Styela clava: one gene and its partner. The main gene of each other region encodes a partner of the protein of the gene in region 2 in a complex. Links are inferred from orthologs where the notes say so. Each region holds a gene or a part of one and is shown on either strand. Other genes may lie near its edges.

Region 1 (3,718 bases), on a different chromosome or scaffold from region 2:
GATTGACGTTAGTTGCACCAACCTGCGCGCAAGAATTATTGGTAAATTTTATTCAGACTTTAATTGACAGACACCCTTCTATAAAAATTCTCATAAACCAAAATACCAAAGCCTTACAAAAGAAAGCTTTAGCTGGCGATCCATACTTGGAAGCAGAAGTTGATCCTGCAAAATGCAAAGCGATGGAAAGCTTTTTATGGGAATTGACAGCTCTTTCGAAACATTGTTCATCTTCGGTAAGCGCTGCGATAAAAAACATTGACAAGGGACCAAAGCAGGACATTACAGACTTGCTTGAAAATACTTATGAAGAAATGTTTGATACACTTTGCGAGAAGGAAATTGTAGACGCTCCTATGAATTACAGAGCGCCAAAAACATTGTTTGGTGGATTTGATGATGCTGTAATGGAACTATGGTCAGTTTAGAAAATAGGACTATGCAATATCTTCTTAAACCTAATTCCCATATCCCTTGTGCATGAAATAAATATTCTCACAGCTCATTAGGTGGATGTTGTAATCAGAAGAACACAATAAAAATAAATTATAATATATTCAAAAATATTCATGGCCAGTCCCATTGTCCAGGTGGTGCTTCTCCAACCAATGTCTCCCATGGTCGACATTCTGCCATTTCCCTGGCAAGATGATGTTCATTCTTGGCCTGAATTATGAGTTCTTCAATTTGTCCATTTCCAATATGCTCTTCTACCAGTGCCATATCTGTGTACTGTAAAATGATAGAGAGAAAATGGCATGTAGACATCATGGATAAATGAGAGTCTGTTGATATTGTGATAAGGAATTTAACTGATAGTCCTGCCCAAGTGTGCATGATCTTCGTCTTTTTAATTTCCAACAAAATGATTAGACGAAATTAAATATAAATCAAGAGTCTTTCACTGTGTCAATGAGAGCTATAAGAGCAGGGATAGGCAAGGTTTTCTGGACCAGGGCGAAAAATTTTGCACAGGCCATGTAAGTGTGAAAAGTTACATTTTATGAACAATATTTACAGTGTTAGAAAAGCAAAAGTGGAAAACAATAGGCCACATGTCAAAACTAAATTTATTCGCAATCTCAACAAACTTGAGCTATTTTTAGTATACTTCAAAATTTGGTTTTAGTTTGGTTGTGGCAGCATCAGACGGGCCAGATAAAATTACACAACTGGCCGGATTTGCCCATTTTCTGGTAAGCTGTTTTGATAACACATTAAGAGTAATGACTAGCATTCAGAACTAATCACCAATGCACAACTTTGAATGTTTGGTGGAATCTTGTGAGAGTAACAGAAGTTTGCTTGGTTTCTTGCTGCAAAGGGCCTAGATTTGGCAATGAAATATTCCTACATACTTCACCATTATTAGTTCATAGTGTTTGGGTGGCCATGAGACCAAAAATCACAACAATGCTTGGAATTATCATATTCTTGTGTTACCTATACAGTTGGTCTCATAGCTATTATTAAGATTGAAAGGGAAATTAATTCAAACTCATTTAAATTGTTGTAGATGAATTTAAAATATTGAAGACGAAAAAGGTGGCCACCTCTCAGTTAAATATATATTATATGGATCAGTCTGATATAAGATATGAGACAAAAATTAATTAATTTCCTAAATTTTTGACCTCTAATTACTGTTCTAGTTTTTCCAGTCATATTATTTTACCTCTCAAATGCTTGAAAGATAAAAATAGCAGTAGTATTTACCTTGTTGAGAATAGTTTGTCGGTGCTTGGTTACAGCCTCTGTTTTCTGCCGATATTCTGCAGTTTGTGGCATATTCCCCACTATTTCAAGTGTTCTCTTGTAAAGCAATGCTAATTTCTGTTTGCCATTTGCTTCCACGGCTAATCCCACTAACCCTGTTGTCTGAACAAAAATGCATTAACAGTATAGTTCGAAACGATGCCACCAAATTCATTTCTACGTGGATGAAACATTTTTGATATGAGATTAAAAGCTTAGATCACCAGTCATGATAGCTACCGGTACCGTACTGTACACTATTGCACTACCGTATGTTACACAGATACAAGGCATTTGATTGCTAAAAAAAAAATCTCGTAATATACACTCGCCAGACTACTCAAATTAGCAAGTGCAGTTTCAATTATTTTGTGGCGCCTAGAGCTGCCGCAAAACCATGGTGGGATTCCCAAATCATGATTAGGATCAACGTATGTAAAAATGTTTGTTAAATGCCAATTAGAAGTACTTACGGCCGTTTAGTGAACGTGCGCCCAAATTAGAATTTATAATCTCCGAATTTGGTGATTCGGAGGATTCGTCTAGTGAATTCAGGAATTGTTGTTTAATAGTCAACTTGTTGGATGTTTTACTGACAACATTTGTTTGTGTACGGCAAAGGTGCCCACGATACAGTGATAAGGTACTGTGATATGATATGGAAGCACAGATTACAAGTATTCTTTTCAGTTTTGCAGTTTGATTCAGTTTTGTACCTATACTGCTACCGGTACCGCCAGAATACAGTATTCTGATAACAGTTAGCAGGTTAGTACCGGTACTGCAGTAAATAGCATATATGTTGTATGGTGAAAAATCTTACCAGCTTGGACGCCATCTTAGACCTTCCTATCAGCTCACAGATTACAAACAATGCCGAAGATCTCCCAGAAGGCAGAAACCGCTTGCAAGTCTCGAAATTTAGCTGCCAAAATCACAAACCCGTTGCAGCAATAAAACCGGAGAATGTTGGCCCGGAGTCAGTTATCGGAACTCCGAGTCCGAATCCAATATTGAAATGATATTGTGACGAACCTTGTTTTAACTGTTAAATGATGTCATATTCTTACTGTATTTTGTATTTTCAACACTGAGGACGCTGTGACACTGTCGATCTGTCTTTGAAATCATGTTACCGTGTGCTGTGGTGTGATGTGGTTGGTACCGGTACAGTGTGGTTGGTTTTCGGTTGGATTCTGGTCATGAGTGTCTGTGGGAGTGCCTCTGGTCTCCGGTGGGTTATCATGGATGTCTGTTTGTGGTTTTGTGACTGCGGGATGGGGATTTGTTGGATGTTTTTATGCTAGACCAGCGTTTCCCAAACTGTGTTCCGCGAGCATCTTCCAAGTGTTCCGCGGAGAGGGGACCAAAATTACGACTTAATTGGTCGCTAAGGCTATCTCGGGATCGTGAAGTTGTCGCCCAACCTGCGATCGTTCAATATCGCGTCACGGTCGGCCTAAAGCGGACAAAAGCAAAAGGTCTTCATTTTTGAGCTCTGCCTGGTTTTTTATTTAAAATGCTGAAAAAAATCACTCATGTTCGCTAAACTCGATTCAGCAAATAAACAAACTGCAGCTCGCAAAATTGCAGCAAGTACTTCTAACTGCATTGTTAGGTAACATTAGAGGCAAACACTACGTAATAGAAAGTAAACGACAAAAAAAGGTAAAATGAATTATTGATCAATATACACAGCATTTAAAATAGGGAGCAATAAACATTTATAATAAATGCAATATGCAAAATATTCAATCATATTTTAGTTATGTTGAACACAATTCTGTTAGTTTTCGCGGCGCATTTTGCAACACGCTACAGCGCACTAGTATCATACCCTTTTGGGGCCGCTGCATTACACCATTTTTCTTTATCAATTTCACCCTTTCATTTTTTGGTGTTCCGCGAGGCGAGATAAAAAGCGTAAGTGTTCCCAGGCCAAAAAAGTTTGGAAAACGCTGTG
Region 2 (2,831 bases):
ACAATATATTTCGTCCCTCTGCATTTTATAGGATTTTTAGGAAATATCAGTCAAACCCACAAAGTGTGAATAGTATAGCTATGCAGAGAGTTTTTTACATTTGCTTTATAGCTTATTCTAATTGTTAAATATATGGAAGAAAATAGTGTTAATGTTGAATTTACACTCCTGCAATTGCACAATGCTTGCACTCTTTCTTGAGCAATGCCAACCCACAGGCAAAATTGGAACTTTTATTTGGGTGCTGATGTAAATATTCTTAAACCATGCATTTTAGAAACTTCCTCCTTTAGGGCATTTGTCACAAGCTTGTGTGCAGCAACAGTTCGAATTTTTGAAAAATCTTCCGATTCAATGTGAATTTCGTACATACTTCCACAACCACCTGAAATATCTTCTACATCAATTTTCACAGCATTAGGGAATCGAGTTTGCAAAATGTTAGTTATTTTTATCTCCCCTGTGTTCCCTTCTGCCGTGGATGTAGAAAATGGTTGGCATATCCGTGCAGAGTGAAGTGCTGGTGCTGGTATAGAATTCTTACAAATTACTGACGTATTGGATGATTTACTATAGTTAACAAAAGTTTGGAGGAGTTTAACGGTACAAATTCTATTCGGCAACGACATAATTTAGTCAAAATTCTGAAACAAAAGCAAATACACAAGGTCATTATCATGTAGCTAATAAGTATGAACCCACAAAAAGCATTTTTCAGTTAGGTAAATCTTCCATAAACCATACAATCCAATGGAAAATTTCATGAATATGGTCAACCACACAAGAAAATTTTAAATATCAAATACTTTGAGATAGTTTTAACCTTGGAAACATATCTACTGATATAACTGACTTTTCAAATAAACAATATGCAATACTTGTATATAAAAATTCATGACATCAGCAGAAAGAAAAATTTTGTTTATGATGCAAATATTAATATGGACAAAGAAAATATCTCAAATATATTATCAAAGAAAACTTCTAAAATCAGTTTATTCATGTTTTGGAGGAGAACTAAGGTTGTCTGTATTCCTATGTTTCGGAAAGGCTTCCCATGGACTGTTAAGATCAAATTTTCTAAATTCTTGTGCAAGCTCAACAGGATCACGAACAACTCTGACAGCTTCATCATCCCATCGAACCTCGTGGTAACCAGACAAAGGAAAATCTTTACGAAGTGGGTGGCCATCAAATCCATAATCAGTGAGAATCCTACGAAGATCTGGATGGTTACGGAATAATATACCATACATATCCCAAGCTTCTCTTTCATACCAATTGGCAGCACGATACACACTACAAACAGAATCAACCGGTGTTAACTCGTCTGTGTAAGTTTTCACTCGAATACGTTGGTTGTATCGCAGAGAGAGTAGATTGTACACAATCTCAAATCGATAGACTCTTGTTGGTATATCATTTCCACACAAATCAGCCAAGGACTCAAATTGACATAAAGTGTTATTTTTCAGGAAGCTCATTGTAGTAAGTATTCCATCAGGATGTACCATGACCTCGAGCTCATTTGTATGAGTAAGCTGGACTTGTTGAATATACTTCGGTAAACAATTGGCAACATAATCACCGAATTCCATCAGCTGATTCCATGCAACTTCCCTTGACATTTTAATTTCAGGTAAATTGTCGGTGGGAGGTGTGACACCATCTTCATTTGTCTGTAGATGACTGGAGCTTGCGATACACCTTGACAGACCCTTCGAAGACACGATTGGCGCTAAATTTGAATGAACATTAGTTGTAACTAAGCGTGAAATGCCTCGAAATAAAAAGGCCATTCTGGAAATGATAATAAAATTCATTAAGATGGCTGATTTTGCACTACGATCTTCATATAATACAGTAGAATAAATAGTGGTTCTTGTACTGGCAGACTGGTAGCGACATTCAAATGGAAGGATATAATACCGGTATGTTATATGTCTGTATGTTGATGCATCTATAAATGTGCAATGAACTCAAGTTGTCAAGGACCAACCTGCTGGCAGCACTGGCACCATTAATGACAAGTCATGCCTCAATTCCCGTTTGGGGAGAGTCAGAGTTAACCAATACCGGTACCGGTAGCTCTGTACCTGCATAGTATGTACTCAGCATATCAACACATTACCGTTATGCTGTTAAATTTATCCAAAACATAATATAGAATTGAGGGACTACAAAACCGTTCTCGCGCTGTTCAAGAAACTCCGACTTATGGCTGTATAAATTCTGTTTTGCACCAGCCCATATGAGTCTCATATGGGGTGGTATGAGTGGGATATGACCAGATAATTACAATGTTAAATTAAATAAAGTAAAATTCAACTAAAAAATGAGGTACGGTACCGTACATTACTACTAGTCGGCCAATATATATTTAGAATAATTTCACACTGCAACATAACTTGAGCAGGTACTGGCATTAGTGGTGCTGCTTCGGGGGTTCGGTTTAAGGTCAAACCACTGAACCGTACCGGTACTGAAATACACTTTTCGAATGTATGTCCTACCGATACCGTATGTGCCGCTTTCTTGTTGGTGCAGTGTCTGGAAGAATACATGTCGCTATACAAAAATTAAGAAGCTCATGATACTCTTTTATGACTTATGACAATGTTAAATTAAATAAAGAAAAATTCAACTAAAAAATGAGGTACGGTACCGTACATTACTACTAGTCGGCCAATATCTATTTAGAATAATTTCACACCGCAACATAACTTGAGCAGATACTGGCATTAGTGGTGCTGCTTCGGGGGTTCGGTTTAAGGTCAAACCACTGAACCGTACCGGTACTGAAATGCACTTTTCGAATGTATGTCCTACCG

What was found. The genes of interacting proteins can lie anywhere in the genome.
Region 1: the proteins of NADH dehydrogenase [ubiquinone] iron-sulfur protein 3, mitochondrial-like (region 2) and NADH dehydrogenase [ubiquinone] 1 alpha subcomplex subunit 5-like are in contact, whole or in part, in a cryo-EM structure (PDB 8ESW), measured with the Drosophila melanogaster proteins. The link is inferred for Styela clava from reciprocal best matches to the Drosophila melanogaster genes ND-30 and ND-13B. Residues at the interface, in NP_647775.1 of Drosophila melanogaster: Tyr66, Glu69, Cys70, Leu71, Pro72, Lys73, Tyr74, Val75, Gln76, Lys77, Leu89, Ile90, Ala91, Pro92, Glu93, Val96, Pro97, Gln100, Phe101, Asp104, His105, His106, Gln107, Gln109, Val119, Val121, Cys123, Arg124, Asn126, Glu129; in NP_648409.1 of Drosophila melanogaster: Tyr28, Ser43, Tyr44, Tyr47, Thr48, Leu51, Arg55, Cys74, Gly75, Glu79, Gln83, Ala84, Asn86, Glu87, Ile89, Leu90, Lys93, Met94, Trp97, Lys98, Pro99, Trp100, Glu101, Lys102, Leu103, Val104, Gln105, Ala106, Ala107, Pro108.

The regions. Positions count from the first base shown.
Region 1 is NC_135250.1:11,173,675-11,177,392, reverse strand, and holds NADH dehydrogenase [ubiquinone] 1 alpha subcomplex subunit 5-like, read right to left. Parts: upstream 2,739-3,718; 5' UTR 2,594-2,738; coding exon 2,579-2,593; intron 1,879-2,578; coding exon 1,717-1,878; intron 900-1,716; exon of another isoform or gene 733-899; coding exon 568-732; 3' UTR 503-567; downstream 1-502. Other genes in the region: nucleolar complex protein 4 homolog, read left to right, coding at 1-428.
Region 2 is NC_135254.1:12,649,809-12,652,639, forward strand, and holds NADH dehydrogenase [ubiquinone] iron-sulfur protein 3, mitochondrial-like, read right to left. Parts: upstream 1,825-2,831; 5' UTR 1,824-1,824; coding exon 996-1,823; 3' UTR 643-995; downstream 1-642. UniProt on the Drosophila melanogaster protein: Core subunit of the mitochondrial membrane respiratory chain NADH dehydrogenase (Complex I) that is believed to belong to the minimal assembly required for catalysis. Complex I functions in the transfer of electrons from NADH to the respiratory chain.